Linked DNA regions of Elephas maximus indicus. The protein of the gene in region 2 purifies or fractionates together with the protein of the main gene of each other region. This does not show direct contact. Links are inferred from orthologs where the notes say so. Each region holds a gene or a part of one and is shown on either strand. Other genes may lie near its edges.

Region 1 (8,236 bases), on a different chromosome or scaffold from region 2:
AGTGTATAAAATTGAAAGCACATGAGTTTTGAAGCACTAGAAAAGGTTTGTAATTGATTAGTGCTGCTTGAAAGTATTGAAGTACAGTGAGTTTTGATTTGTGAATGGTTCTATTCAATAAGGATTAATTCTGTGTGTTTGATAAAATCTTAGTGCCTTCAGTGAGTTAGCTTTTCCCCCCTCTGCAGTTTATTTAACCATCAAATATTTCACTGTTCTGTTAACAAACTGGAACATTTCTATCTTACTGAATTTAGCTTTAGCATGACTGATTTAAACAAGTCAGACTATCAGTGATTAGCTTGAAGGGTGTAATTGAATAGATTAATTTTTGTTCTTTTAAAAGAGCTAAAATGTATCTTAATGTAATCATGTATATTTCATGCCCTCCTTGTGATTTAAAGACTTTCACGCCTTTCTTGTGATTTACACAGACTAACAAAATTTTTTCCCTGTTATTTCTTTTAAATCTTTGACATTTTAAAATATTTTTAAAATTTAAAAGTGAACAATTTTTCTTTAAAAATTAGGATTATTATAAATTAAAATATTTACAATACAAGTTTTTGGGAATTGTGTTGACATTGCTAGCTTTTAATATATGTAGAGTAGCCTTCTCATTATGTTCTTGACTTTTTAATTCTTTTCCCTGTTATTTTGGAATGTAGCACTCTTATTTTAGGAGCAAGTTAGGACACTTTATCACTAGTAAATCTTGACAGTATAAAGCTATTATTACTAATATGGACCACAACTATTGTTTCGGAAATCAGTGTTCACACATCATTTGCAGTCAATTACTACGGTCAGATACAAAGATTTTATGTAGAAATTTAATTAGTTAGATGATACCATTTCATAAATAAGTTCTTAATTGTAGAACTACATGAGTCACATCTATCATTTTCTATAGCTTTTGTTTATGATAAATAACATTTTGAGTAGCTCACAGATTTTGAAAATTATTGATTAATTCAAGGTAAATGGTATTCTGGAGGAGCAAGGACACAGATTTTATCTTTCTCATGTGCGCGCGCGCACACACACACACATGCACGCACTACACACTTCATTATATTTAAGGAGAGGCTGTCAGTCAACGGTATGCTTTGTCCCTCACCTAGGAAAAGCCTAAGCTTTCTTTTTAACTACTTCACAAAGCCGGGGCACGTGCTTTTGACATTTCATTGTTGATGGTTATAATCATCATATAAGAATTTAAAACCTGAAGTGAAGTTTTAGACTTCAAATAGATTATAGAATGGGAAAATGTTTGCAGTGTGATGATAACCTATACATAATGTCCCTTGCCCACCCTGTAATTAGGTTGGTCTGGGGGTTCATGTTAAGTTCTCTATCCAGGCTCTAAGGCACTGTGGTGGCAGAAGGGGGAGTGAAATCCGCCTTTCAGAAGAAAAAAGATTCCTTGCAATGTTTAGTCAAAAGTATGACAGGCAATTGAAGATGACCTTTATCTGCTCAGTTCACTATTATCCCTTGTGTAGAAACTTGATCAAATTTCAGAAATCTTAATGTAAAAATGGTTATTAAAATGTCAGGGAAATATAAGACACCTGATAGAAAATATAAGACCATTTTAACTTACTCTCTCTGTCAATAATAATAGCTTTACTTCTAGTGCTGGAGTATTCCCTGGAACTCGTGGTGCTCCCAATATAGTTAGAAAAGTGTATTTTTTTTTCTCTTTAATAGAGTAATATTGTTAAAAATTAACTGCTTGATATGCCTGTTTTGTTATCTCTCTATATGACAATGATTTTAACCATTTTTTTCCTCTCATCTCTTGGGTAATAAGACTAAAAATTCCCATGTATAAGCTGTAATTATAAGATGTAGTACAGTCTAGTTGTATTTATGTTCTGCTCTCTTAATATAGAAGTTTTTAGATTAATGCTTAAAACCCACCATTACATTTAAAAAATAATTTGTGATTATTGTATGCATTATAACTGAGGGGGTCCACTTATGGTTATTGAGGAGGTCACTACAATAATTTTACATTTTTTGTAATATACAAAGTACACTTCCTCGCTGTTTAAAAGAAACCCTTTTTCCCCCCTTCAGATTTAATTATTTCTCTTTGACCTAAACTAAGACTGATCCTCAAGTAGTAGCCAGTTAAAATGTGTGTGAAGTAGGAGGAGTAAAGGAAACCCCAATCATTAGTTGTAAGTTACAAAGCAATGTTAATATAGGTATACACAGCAAAAGGATTTATTTTAAAGGATGTAAGAAAATTTTAGAAACTTGCATTATAGTTGGAGCATGTTGGACATCATAAAGAAAATCTTGTAAGTGCTTAGATTTTTACTATAATACCATGGCAGCAGACAGATGTTAAAATAGTTTACATATCTGTATCAACACTAACTTGAAATTAGGTATTAAGGGATTATATTATGCATGTTTTAAAATCCAGCTTGATTTAATAGGTATGGCTCTTTTAAATCAAGCAGGGTATCCTTACGGAGCTTTATTTTTCATGAGACTAAATGGTATTCATTTTGGTAGGTCCAAGAATGTGATTAAAAGAATCTTAGACGTTTCAGTGTTTGTTATGTGTTTATAACAAGTTCTACAAATGGATAATAGTGTCTAGATGTAAAAATAAAATTATATAGGAAACACAATTGCATGTAATTTTTTAAAGACTTCTCTGAACTTTTTAATATTCTAGGCAACTGTAAAGATCTTTTAAAAATGGTTATTGTATACCTATAATTTTATTTCAGTTGAATATATGCTTCAGTTTTATAAAGCTGTTTAGAAATAGACTTGTGCAGATACCTTATAAAGCAGTTTAAAATTGTAAATAGATTTCTTTTAGTCGAGCTGGTTCAAATGTTAACTGTAGGCTTATTTCTGTTTTGCATGGTAGAGCATAATGTTGGGATAATTCTGTGGTCTGTTATTTTGTAAAATTGCTTCCTTTTTGAAGTTTGCTCAAATATTGGGAGCCGCCGGAGTCAATAATTTATAATACTTTGATTAACTTAGTGTCTAGTTTTATTCCAGTGAGGGTTAAAGACAATATTAAGCTGTTTCTTTTTACTGTTTTAGCATTCTCATTTCCATAACTCTAGAAGACATTTTGATTAATGCGAAGTAACTTATTTTTGAATATTTCAAGCCATTACTCTGAGAATTAGATAAGTGGCAGATGCCAAATGCAAATATGTATAGCAATTTCATCTTTTAGTATTTTAGTGCAACAATACAGCATTATTTTGATCTTTAATATACTGTTACCTTCAAGAGCTAGCACTTTATCTAAGACATATAGCTTTATGTTTAACAGGTTCATCTCTTATAGTATTTTAAAATATGATAACACTTACCCCAAAAGAAGTTTTGCTGACATGGTGTCACAGTGCTGAAGAGGCTGTTTGATGCCATAGTCCCTCCTTTTTTTTTTCAGATAGAACTTGTACCCTCTGTTGTAAATACTGCTTGTAGCCTTAAACTGAAAACACAAACCATACCCAAATCTTGTTTTAGTTTTACAGTATGCCTGGAGTACATAGACTTTCTATTTATTTTTTTCTGTCAAGAAATTATGTCGCTGGTAACATGTGAAAAGCAGGGAAACAAAACAAAAAGAGAATGAGCAAATATTTGAAGGCCCTACTATTACTGCATAGACTGTGGTTTGAGAGCACTCACTGACTCTGTTGGTCTCGGTGGCTGGTAGTGACCTGCGGAGATTAACCATTTAAAAACCAGAGACTTCTTGCTGTCCTCCTGGAGAAAGTTTGCACCGCACTTGTGGTTCTGTGGTTGTTTGTGAGGCGAATGAAGCATTCACACAATCCAAAAAAGCAAAAGCTTTAAAACTCCTTTTTTTTGCAAGCACTATTACTGGAGAGACAGAATCATGTGGTTTGTGACCTCACAGAACTCAAAGTAAAGTGGGACTGCCTACCACTGTGGCTTTTTCCCCCTTGCTCTTGCTCTCTTTCTCTCTCTCTCTCTCTGACAAAAGGCTTGTGGTAAGGCCCTTCCTGGCATCCAGAAGGATATAGCTTTTTAATTTTTGTGACTCATGAGGATTTGGATAGAATACAAATGCTGAAGGAGCCCAAACTCCTGTAAGGTTAAGCATCTGTAGAGCAGAACTCTGTTCTTTCCTTCCTACCACCCCACCCCCCCACCCGCCCCCTTTTTTTTTTGCCTCCTCCTTTTAGTTTATTATTGTGTCTGTGGAAGAGTGAGCAAAATTTGGCTCAAGTGGCTGTGCGAAATTCTGAACAACAGTGATGATTTACAATAATTTACATCTTTGGATTGTATCACATTCTGGGGTCTGCTTCATATTTGCTGGGTGGCTGGATTCCTTCTGTTTTTCTTTTTCTTAAACTTGTGAGTCTGTAACTCATTGTAAAAAAAAAAAAAGTTTACCTTTCTTAAGGTCTGGTTGTGAACTGCTTGCTGGGCTGGACTGTAATTGGCTGTCATGAAAGTGTTAGTCTGGAGATACCTTTACAAATATTAATTTATGTCTGTATAGCTTATGGATTATCAATATTAGATGGCAACGTCTCTACAATAAAGATTGACTGTAACATCACATATACTTTTACGTCACAACTAATTTGAGGGTTTTATAAAAATGAATGGCAAGAATTGTAAGATAGTTTATTGAATGAGTCTTAGTTTTCTTTATGCTTGTAGTACAATTATTATCTTTCAAGGAAATGCATTCATTTTGTAGAATTCTTCAGTTTATTTGGCGCCATTAACTTTAACAGAGTCTTTGATAGCAAATCTTATGCATTCATAAAGTAAAATACTTACATTATGACTTAGATTGTTCAGTGTTAGACTTTATATGCTCAGGATGGAGTGGGTTAAGAGAAGCTGAATTTTTTGTTTATAATGGAAGCTTTGAAATAAATTACAAAATGCTGTGTGTAGTGAGGAATAATGCACACAGACAGAGTATGTTAGTCGTCTCGATTTGCTAATTCTGATTCAGAAGAAAATTGGAAACATCTTTGGGAAACTATCTCCTTTTTTGCCCCTTTGGACATGTATGTATAGAACTCATTTTCTTATTAGGATGATTGTATATCATAGGCAGTGAAATTTATATTTATGAATAGGGCTTCCTGTTTTCATCAATTGAGAGCGAGGGGTATTTTTCAACAAAAATTATAAAGCCGAACATACCAATTTTCTAGGCATTTTTGCGATTTATCCACGCCACACTGAACTTGCGTGTGTTCAGTTGTTAGACTTCTTCCTAGTGTGATAGTAACTAGGAGTGGCGTGAAGTCAATGACTTGGAGAATGGGCGGAGACAGTGAGTTACAAAACATTTTTGGGGGTGTACAATGGGATAATAAGGGCTGGGGAAATACTCAGGAGGGTGTTAGAGCTAAAATACCCCTGCACGTGGTGTTCTTAGCACAGTTCATTATCTGCTATTGCTGTACAAATATGTCCATAAATTTCTTTACAAAAATTTTTGATTTGTCCAAAACATGCTGGGATGACACAGGAATTATTTTAATCTCTTTTTCAAATGTCCAGAGCTTTTTCATACATTTTAATGATTTCTTTTAAGCACATATTTATCCTGCTGATTTTGTGTATAATCAGGTTTTATATCGAGAAGCAACAATTTTCATTTAACACACTTATTCACGTAAAAGGGAGAAAATAAATTATTTGGGTATTCTATTTCATAAATAAGGTGCTGGTATGATCTATATATCTAATTAGTATCTAAAGTAAATAAAAGAAGGGTTTTGTTCATAATTTATGGAAGTTTAAACTCTTCTGCACATGTAATAGCAGAGTGAGGCAATTGAAAATTTTGGGTAACTGCTGTAGTTTGATAAGTAAATGATTTTCTTCCTTTAGGATAAGGTTTTTGTTTATGCATCAGGGTTCTCTGACATTCAGACAACCCCAACTTTTTGCTGAGTATTTTCTTCCTTATTTTCTTTTTGTCTTATGTATACTTTGGTCCATGAAAACTGGAGTAATTTTTAACATCAATGTGCCTTCTAATTACTTGTTCTCTTATTGCAGGTTACCCTCCTGCACAAAATCTTTGGGTCAGAATCATCACTCAATGCAGAAGAGTTTGGTAGATATTGTTTAATAGGTCCTTTCCTTTTGGTCTTGCGTGAGGCCGATCACAGCCTGGCAGGAGAAAGATAGCGAAATTATGTGTTTTAAAGTTTGCATATTTATTATCCACACATAATTTTTTTTTCCTAAATTGAAAATATATCTTTTTTTGTGGTAGAAATTTTAAAACAACACTGATAACTGGTACGCATTTGATAATTGACAGTTTGTTTCATTCAAAATAGCTTGTTACGTGTGATGAAGAGAGATTGATTCAGAAAAGCTAATGTGCAAATAAACCTCTTGATTATAGATTTGTATCCATGTTTGTAATCACAAATGAAAACCACAGGACTTTTTTTGTTTGTTTGTTTTTTAAGACCTTCACAACTTCATCCTGCTGGAGGTATGTTAGCATCTGCTATGTTTAAGTAAGCAGCAAGTTTAGGTCTACTGTGTAAATTATGTTCTTTAATGTTACGGAAATGAGATACAGCTTACTGCAAAAAGTCAAAAAGTTAGTGTCTTGCTTCCCCATTACTTTGTATTTAATAAACGTTGTCAGAATTGGTTGAAATTTTTAAGATACCAAAACGTTTACAAATAATACATTATAAACTGCTTTAAGTGCTACGTATGTCTTCATTGTTACCATTTGAATTTTTTTCCTGAACTAACGATAGTATTTTAATACACTACTTTTCCTTTACCAATATCGTTCTTGTTTCCGTGCTTTTTGTTTATCTGTTTTTAGGATTGTGTTAGAGTTCTATTTGTCACCAGTGTCTTTTTCTTTTAATTGAAAACAATAGGAGCAGAAGCCTTGATGTGGGAATTTTATAAACTATAGGAGTCTTAATTTGGCTTAATATGTTCTCACTGATTATGAGGTTTTCGCAAAAGTTTTTTAATTTATTGTTTCAATTTGGTATGTGACAGTTTATTTTTTATTTTTATTTTTGATATATAGCTGCTCAAACTTACATAGCATTTATTGGGCCTTATATTGATGCCTTGTAAATTTTTTATATTAGTAAAATAAGTATAGTTTTGTTAGTATTTTAAATTATGATTACAAGAGATTAATTCCATTTCCTTATTTTAGTGAGGTGTATGCCTGCATACAGAACTGCACACACGTGTGTGGTGGTGGTTGTGCGTAGGGCGATGCTTTGTAGCAATTTTTATGGGAGTATTTTTTGTTTCTATTTTAATTAAATTTATAAAATCCCAAAGCATCACCATTTCCTTGATTGTTTGAACCGTTTGACTTGGTTAATTGTTAATCTCAGTTTAAATGTGAGATTATGTGGAAATTGGATGCCAAAAGAGAAAGTACTAAACTAACTTTCTGTTCTCTCTCCCCCTTCACTGTACTTCGGCCTTTTTGTTTGTTTGTTTCTCTTTTCTCTGACTTTTTTATAAAGTCTCAAAGTAGATTCTTAAAATTCTAGTAAGGGATATTGACATTAATCCTTCTAATGAATACCTAGCAGGTTAGAAGCTCATAACATTCATTGCAACTTATTGTTACGTTCTGATATATTATACCTCATTTGTTAGGCGTGTGTGGGCATTGTGTTGGCTTCTGTCTACAAAGATTTTCTTTCTTTTAATTGTTTTCACTTGGTCCTTGAATCCTTCCTTTATGTTATTTTGCTTTAGCACGTTGCTTCATGTGTCATTAACACTTTAATTATGAGATTAGTTTTTGTTTCTTTTTTCTCTGACTGTACTTTGAAGTGCAGAGTGATCCATACTTGTTTAATATAGCCATATAAGTAATTTATGTTTCTTATAATTATTGGGACAATTCATCTTCTAATGCTGTCATTTCCGCAAGTAGGAAAAAAAAAGGCGAGAACTTGCAGAAAATATGGGAAACATGCTCGTATGACAGCTGAGGATGTGGCTAGGCTAAAGCAGGAAACTACTACCCACAATGCAATGTTACATACACTACCACTTAATAAAATTTATATCAAACATGCTACTGACAAAACCAAAGAAAAATAATATCCCAACTATGCTAGTTAATGATACTAAATATATCTAGGGAAAAGTGAAACTAATCTTTTTAGAACTTTTGTACTTACAGAATATAGTAAATGAAACTGGGACATCATAGCACGTTGGA
Region 2 (8,406 bases):
ACGATGCATCTGGGTAGAAAGCTGCCCCAGCTTCTCCCTGGGAAGTCGCTTTTGTAAAGAAGTCCCTGATTTCAACTTCTTTTCCATCTCTCCCCATCTTCTCATACACCCAGAGGGCAGAAACACAGTAGGCTGTTTTGGTGACTTGAGGGGCTGACCCGGCCATCATCTGGTATGTGAGGCCCCGATATCAGCTCGCATGCCAGCGACTACAGCAGGGGACAAGACTGCCCACTTAGCGCCAGGAAACCCAAAGGCCACCGAGGCCAGGCTCCCGACCAAGCGCTGAGGTATCACCGCTGAGCCTTGGCACTGCTCTGATCCCTGACCCAAACTCCAAGGGTCCTGCATTACACACGCCCGTGTTCTCATTAGGCCTCTCTGCAAGGCACACCTGGCCTGGTGCTGCTGACACTCCAGTTCATGACCTTCCCGACTACAGTGCAAAAAAGAAGTGGGATAAGATGTCTTCATTTAAAAGAAGTACTCAGATGCCTCACTCGACTTCCATAGGCCGCCTTGGGTGGCTCCGCGGGCCCTTGAGGGCCACCCCCACCCTGTACTCCTGGCTCACTCCACCCCCTGTGCAGCCCTATCACCTCGGGGCTGGCAAGAAGTGGCCTTCAGCCTGGGCCTGGCACCAGGCCTGCCTATTTTTAAACGCAGATAAAGGCGGGGTGGGGGGTGGCAAGAGCAAAGCAAGTGGCCCCACCCCCCCGCCTCAAGGGTCCCGCAGGCGACCCCCATCAATAGATGAGGGGTGCCCCACTTTGGATCCTGCCACCATGTGGCCCCGGGCAGGAGCGATTCAGCAAGAGAAAGTACACTGGTGCCCAGCCCAAGGCCTGGGGCTGCACCCCGATGGCCACCCAGGGCGGGAAGGACCTCGGGACAGACGGAGTGTGTCCAGAAGCAAGAAGCGGTGTTATTTAGAACCATGGGGATGCAGAGCCCAAATCTCCCCAGGCAGCAGCCTCCCAAGTGATGCCATGGGGAGTGGGGGTTCCAAGGTCAAGGATCCCCACATGGGGCCTCCTACCCCGGCTCCAGCCCAACCGCTGGGACCCTGCCCAAGGCCCGAGGGGGTTGGTGGTCACAAAGACAGACAGATGTGTCCTCTGGACGGTCTGTGCAGTCCCACCTCTCATGCACAGAACAGCAGTGGCCGCCCAGGCCTCTCAGCATGCCTGGTATCTCTAACGTGCTTTTCAAAACATTAAGGACAACTCTGGATCAAGGAAAGGCTCCAAGAGAAATTCCACTTAGATAAGTCTCTGACTCCCACATTCCGTCTGACCCAACGGTGTGGGCTGGGTTTGTTTTTAGTTCCCTTTCGGAACAAGCAAAATGGAGCAAGGGCGCAGGAGCACATCAAATCTTTTTCCCGGGGTCACCATGTGGCGTAACATCGCCCAGGACTTAGGACTGCAGACTGGAGCACGCCCACGTCAGGACTACACTTTCCCCGGCACTGGGGTTCCTCCAAACTGGACACCCAAAGGCCACCGGCAAGCACGGTGAAGTGCCCTCGTCCACCCTGAAGCAAGGGACCCAGAACTACAAGCCAGGAGAGACCAGAGACATGCCGCACGGTGGCTCTGGGGCATGCTGCCTGGGTGCAAAGCCAGCACAGCCCCCGAACAGTGGGACCCTCAGCCAGTCGTTCAACCTGCCTGGGCCTCAGTTCTCCCTGCTGTAAAATGGTGTCCCAAAGGCACCTACTTCCAGGGTGTGTTTTGAGAATCACGTAACAAATTGCACTAACACACTTTGTGCACAGGCCCAGCATGCAGAAAGCACCCCAGACTCGTCAGCTATCGTTTTACAGGTAAGAAAGCTGGAAACCCAGGGGATCAGAAGGAGCCACAGATCTCCTCTGGCCCCCGAGCTGGGTGCCTAATGAAACAGGACGGACGGATAACCCGAGTGGTGTCTAAGAATTCGGCATGGCATTAACAGGAGTACAGGGTCACGGCCCCGTAGGGTTCCCAGAGGAGGATATGAGCAAAGTAAGGGGTCTGTAGATGTGAAACCTCGGCTACCACAGCAGAGACACTTGGGGTTTTAGTTGAGATCAAATATGGAACTACCACTGTGGCTAGCCATTGCTTCAGCAGGTGAGGCGCTCTGCTCCTGATCTCGGTGAGTCTGATTTTCTAGATCAGAAAGGCGTGAATGTGGCAAGTCAAGGACCCACATCCCAGGGCGTTCCACAGAGCACGAGAGGGGCCAGGCCAGGAGAGGAGATGCAGTCACCCTCTGGCACCCACAGGGCCACTGGCAGGGGGCTTGGCCACAGCAGAATCCCAAGTCCCTGCCTCTGGGCGCCCCAGCACTGTGGTCTGCTGTGCGCCAGGAGCCACTATCGCCACAGCTGCACGTGTGCAGGAGCGAGCGCCGAAATGACGCGCTTCCACCCCTCCCACCACACAACCCAGCCACCACCAGAGAAACGGCACGTGCCCGTCCATGCCCCTCTCACTCTAAACCCAGGCCCTGCGACCAGCCATCAGTAGCAGGATGCCAGGGGCCCCTCGCCGAGTTTCCATGCTCTGAGCCGCTTCTAGACGGCCAGCCACCAGGTCGCCGTGCCGAGTCCCCGCACAGCTATGTAACAAGCACAGAGCAGCGGCACACGTTTTTCAAAAGACTCCGGGTTCATACTTTACCTTCTCCGAGACGTCTGCTTGGCTCCCAGGACCCTCCAGCCTGCCCTCCCAGAGCTGCTGGGCCTTCACAGAGAAGCAAACTCACACCCGCCTCCCGGCACTCACGGCTGAAGAATTCCAGCGCTCCGCCCTGACATCTGGTTTCCATTTCATACCCGTGTTGTCAGATTACATAACAAGCAGATGATACACGGGCTCACGCAGAAGGCTCGACACCACTGTTTACTTTCCGGCCCATGAGTGAGCGTTCTGCCAAACCCGATTTTGTGCGGGGCCATGTCGCCCAAGCTCCCACCAGCTCGCACCTCAAGTGCCCTGGAGGTCAGGAGCAAGGCACCGCCTTCTGGGGCACTCGCTCATTTACAAGGCCAGTTCTCTCCCTCTGCTTCCACGTACAAGTTTGAGAGCACTATAACCTCTCCGCAGCCTGAATTTGATTTTAGGGCACCTGAAGTGAGGTGTTTGTTAGCTGTAGAAGATGTGGGGAACTGCACTTCCGGGCTGGACTGACTGACTGCATGATCGCAACCAGAAAGGGCCGGGCGTCTGTGCGGCGGACGGGACGTGGGGGACTTACGTGTGAAGAAGAGTTCAAGTCATGTAGGGTTTCTCCACCCCAGGCGTAAGCATTCCAGGAACTTGAGGAGCCTTATCTGGGAAGAAAGCGCCCTACCCACCCCACCCCCAGCTTAGTTGGGAAGCTGTAAGGGCAGTTGTTGTTTAGTAGGACATTCCAGCGTGCACTGCAGGCTATGATGTTGCAATGGCCAACGTGGAAACACGCAGCCCCTTGGCGCACTCCTGAAGCTGCTCCCAGACATACCACCAGCTGCCTCTGAAGGCACGGGGGAGGGGTTGGCCCAGGTCGCCACTGCCAGCCAGCATCAGGCAGGAGCCTGGAGCTCCGTGATCAGCCATCATCCTGCTCAGAATAAGGTTATCTGTGTTGTGGCATGTATCAGGACTTCATTTTTCTTCACAGCTCAGTGGGATCCCACGTGTGAGCACTGTCACACATGGGAGCAGCATCCCACATGTGAGCAGTGTCCCATGCATGAGGGACGCCCCACACGTGAGCGGCGTCCCACATGTGAGCAGTATTCCACGTGTGAGTGGTGTCCCACATGTGAGCTGCATTCCACGTGTGAGTGGCATCCCACGTGTGAGCAGTATTCCACCTGTGAATGGTGTCCCACCTGAGAATGGTGTTCCACCTATGAGTGGTGTCCCACATGTGGGTAGTATTCCACCTATGAGTGGTGTCCCACATTGAGCAGTATTCCACCCGTGAGCGGCGTCCCACGTGTGAGCAGTATTCCACCCGTGAGTGGCGTCTCACGTGTGAGCGACATTCCACCTGTGAGTGGTGTCCCACGTGTGAGCAGTATTCCACGAGTGGTGTCCCACATATGCACAGTATTCCACCTGTGAGTGGCGTCCCACGTGTGCGCGGCGTTCCACCCGTGAGTGGCGTCCCACGTGTGCGCGGCGTTCCACCCGTGAGTGGCGTCCCACGTGGGAGCGGCGTTCCACCCGTGAGTGGCGTCCCACGTGTGCGCGGCGTTCCACCCGTGAGTGGCGTCCCACGTGTGTGCGGCGTTCCACCCGTGAGTGGCGTCCCACGTGTGCGCGGCGTTTCACCCGTGGGCGGCGTCCCACGTGTGTGCTGCTTCCCACGTCTGAGTGGTATTCCACACATCGGCAGCATCCCACACGAGAAGCATCCCGTGTGCAAGCATCCACTGCCCTGCTCAGCACAGGTTCATTCGCTCTTCACGGCTGAGTAGCATTCCATGTACGAGTGGCCACTGTCTTCAGTCAAGACAGCCTGCTCCCACAGTGGCAGTGACGACCTGAGGAGCCAGGTACCTTAGGTGTCACATGCGGCAGGTGGTCAGAAGCGAAACCCCGGGGCGCACAGTCCAGAGCAATCATTTCAGCCAAGTGAACAGTTCCATCCGTGAGAGACAGGCCTCTGACAACATCTCCTTACTGATGCCCTGGAGCATGAGGGCCGACGGATGAGGGGGAAACCGAAGCGTCCACGGACCTGGGGCCAGTTCTTGTCCCCGACGTGGGTGGGAGCCCAAGCCCCACAGTGGTCCAGGGCTCTGTGAGAGCACACTCAACTCCAGAGCCAGCGTGGTGGTCAGCTGACTCTCCTCCTGAACCAGGGCCTGGGGATGCTCACTGAGGAAAAGCCATGCACGTGCGGCACTCAACAAGAATGAAAGTTTATCTACAGGAGAGAGTACTGCCCACCAAGAACACGAGGCTTGGGTGGAGGGAAGTCCTCGCTAGGAGATGCCACTTAGCTTGAGTCCTGCGGGCAGTGTGGGGTGGAACTTCGGAGCAGATGGAGAGCATACACCAGGACACGGGCAGCCAGCGGCTGCCCGTCACTAGGAGCTTGGTTATGCCCTTCTCTCTGGCCCTTACAGGGTGAGAAGGCAAAGGTGCAGGTGGCATCAGCAGACAGGTGCCCAAAACAAAGGAGGACCTGGACACTGAAGGCTGAGCCAGCGTACGCACAAGGACAGGGCTCAGAGCCGAGCTGGCTTCACAGAGCACGCCCGAGAGTGTACAGACCCTCCAAACTCAGGCCCCACATGCCACCCAGCCAGCTGGACACCCTCAACCAACAGGCAACTCTTCTTCATCCTTTAACATACCCTTTCATTTAAGCAATTCCATAGTGTAGCAGTTATCACGTCTGCTTTACACGCAGAAGGTCCTGGGTTCAAGCCCCAGTAGAACTATATGGGGACTCCTTTGGAAACCCTGGCAGCATAGTGGTTAAAAGCTATAGCTGCTAACCAAAATCTGCAGTTTGAATCCACCAGGCGTTCCTTGGAAACCTTATGGGGCAGTTCTACTCTGTCCTACAGGGTCGCTATCAGTCGGAATCGACTTGATGGCAATGGGTTTGTTTTTTTGTTTGTTTGTTTGTTTTTCATTTAGTAGCCTGGAACATCACTTCCCTAAGCTGGGTCCCTCTCTGCAGACATGTGTGTTCTCTTCCTGTTGTGCTGATGGAGTTAAAGCAGGGCCCATGGGAAGGGGTAGCAAGCAGTGCTCGTGTCACTGCACAGATGTCCACAGCCAGGCGCACTGGGCCCAGGAACCATTGAAGGTGGCCCTCATCACCATGCCAACACCCTTCCTCTAAAAGAGACACAGGATGAAATGCTGAACCCTGTCTCCACAGCCTGGCCTCTGACTTAGGTGGCATCCACATCCAGTGACAAGCCCTAGGACAAAGCTGACGTCAGCCTGTCTGAGCCACATTCTTCAGCCAGCACGGAGCCATCATCCTGTCACCTGCTATGAGCACCCTTCCAAACCCTAGGGTGATGCCTGCGGCCTTTCAGCCTGAGACAGGCTGGTTTCCCACCCCTGGGAGGTTACCGCACTTCTGTCCACCGTGCGCCTGCTCGGCGCTGGCCCTGCTCTCTGAGGGTATCAGTCCTGAGCAGTCAAACCAAAGAAAAGGATCCCACCCCTCCCATAAAGGCAAATCAAGGTTTGTAAGCCTGGCGGACACACGTCAGCATCAGCCACATGTGTCTAAACCAGCGGGGTGGGGAGATTCCAGCCCAAGCCCAGAACGTGGCTGAGAGGTGGTGAGAGATGATGGAAAAGCAAATTCCGCTCCTGGGGAGTGAGAGCAGCTCAAATGCTCTTCCCCAGCTCCCCTACTGCTCCTGAGAAGGGGCCCCTGGTAGCCTCTTCACTCAGGAGCCTAGGGGACCACCAAAGGTCAAAAGCCAGAGGGCCAGTGATGGCCACCCACCTGTCTCTCACCCCTCCTTCCTCTTCCTCTGCACCCACAATGGAGGCCGCAGCTCCTACACCTGCACCCCACTGGCTAAGCCACCAGATGAGGCAGGCCGTCTCCCCCAGCACCAATGGGGAAGCCCCCAGGAAGGCTCCCATGCCCGTGCCATGGCCGGGGCACTGCCACAGTCCTACCTCAGACAGCTTTCCTACATGGTAGGCTGGGGTGGTGTATGCTCCAGAATAAAGAGAGGGAATGGCACCCCCGAAGCCCCAGGGCACGGGCCTTGCTTGCAAACACCAGGATGGAGCTGCGAGCCGAGGCCTGGGGGCAGGTCCCCAAGGAGAGGCGCCACCATGTCCTGCAGGCCAGGTGCAGGGCTTGGTCAGGACACCACTGCGGCTCCCTCTGGGACAGCCTTTCTCTCACTAAGCCCTGGGTGATGCAGGGTGGGATGAGGACTTTGCTTACCCATCTCCAGGCAGGGCCCCTCAGCCTTGCCCCTGCACAGAAGCCTCTGTGGTCACTGCCGGCCCAAGAGCTCTCGGCCAGGGACTGGCCCTCTGGGAGCCCGAGCAAGCTGGGGAGTACACACGTGGTGGCCATCCAACACTGCAGGCCCAGGCACGTGTGACCACAGGCCCAGCTAAGCAGTGCACTTTGGGAAAAGCCGAGGACAAGTGAGCACAGAGGGACTGCCCCAATGGCACCTTCTCCACATGTCCCCTGGAGCCCCCAACTGAAAGACTCACCAGCGCGAACCCTGGGAGCCTACCTGTGCCCACTGGCTGTCCCAGCAGTTCTCACATCTCCCAGCAACCCACAAGCTGGCATCAGCTCCGCTGCCCAACAACACCACAGAGGCTCAGAGGCTCAGACAGTGTTCTCAGGGCCACACGGCAACAACGCGGCTGTCCTGACTCAGGCGGCAGGCTCCACCTGCTGTACCATCCCAATGCCACAGGGGCTGCCTCCCCGGGTTTACAGAGTGGGGACACCATCCACGACATGGCCCGTAGTGCACGTGCCCTCCACAGCTCTCCCCCTCCCCACACCAGAAGAAGATGCCCACTGGCACGGTGGTGTCTAACCTGCAGCTTCACTCTGCTGGCTGCCTGCCCCGGGAAGCGGCGCCTGGGACCTGAGGCCCTGGAGGAGAAGCTGCGGTCACTGGTACTGCTCACCTCCGTCTTAATCAACAAGCCACTGACGAGAGAAGGAACCTCTGTCAGGAGGAATTGAAAACCAACCCCCAATCGTGGCTGTAACAGATCCCAACAGCGCTGACACGTACTACCAAAAAAAAAGAAAATCACACTGGGAAAGGATGCACTAAGTGGCCAAGACAGCCTACATAGCCACTGTATCGGTCTGCGAGGGCCGCCGAAACAAAGCACCACAAAGTAGGTGGCACAGAACAACAGAGGCATGTTCTGTGGCAGCTCGAAGGCCAGGAGTCTGAACTTAAGGCGACGGCAGGGTCGTGCTCTCCAGAGGCTCTGAGGGAAGGTCCTTCCTTATTGCTCAGCTGCTGGTGACGCAGGCGTCCCTGGGCTTGTGGCTGCGTCACCCCCACCTCAGCCTCTATCTTCACATGGCCTCCTGGACTTTATGTCTGTCTGTCTGCCTGTCTCCATGTTTCCTCTCCTCTTCTGTCAGACCCCACTCAGAAGGGGTTAGGGCCCACCTTCCTCCAGTTCGACCTCAAGTTAACTGGCAGCATCGTCAAAGACCCTCTTTCCAAACGTGGCACAGGTGCAGGGTCCAGACCTGGACGTACCTTTTGGGCGACACAATTCAAGCTGTGGTTCTCTGCCAGGTCGAGTGGTACCAGGTTCCACTTCACGAAGAAAGCACCTCTCATAGAGGCAGGCGACCAGTCCCAGCCTCGAGCCAGGCGTGATGGCCCACCCGTCCCGTGCTCCCCTACTCCTGGGCTCATGGGACACACACTTCTGG

The links. The genes of interacting proteins can lie anywhere in the genome.
Region 1: the proteins of HDAC4 (region 2) and RUNX2 purify together in Homo sapiens (affinity purification with western blotting; 3 studies listed by BioGRID). This does not show direct contact. The link is inferred for Elephas maximus indicus from reciprocal best matches to the Homo sapiens genes HDAC4 and RUNX2.

The regions. Positions count from the first base shown.
Region 1 is NC_064819.1:109,904,035-109,912,270, reverse strand, and holds the start of RUNX2 (runt-related transcription factor 2), read right to left. Parts: upstream 3,433-8,236; 5' UTR 3,418-3,432; coding exon 3,360-3,417; intron 1-3,359. UniProt on the Homo sapiens protein: Transcription factor involved in osteoblastic differentiation and skeletal morphogenesis. Essential for the maturation of osteoblasts and both intramembranous and endochondral ossification.
Region 2 is NC_064824.1:141,302,255-141,310,660, forward strand, and holds the start of HDAC4 (histone deacetylase 4), read right to left. Parts: upstream 3,322-8,406; 5' UTR 2,818-3,321; coding exon 2,670-2,817; intron 1-2,669. UniProt on the Homo sapiens protein: Responsible for the deacetylation of lysine residues on the N-terminal part of the core histones (H2A, H2B, H3 and H4).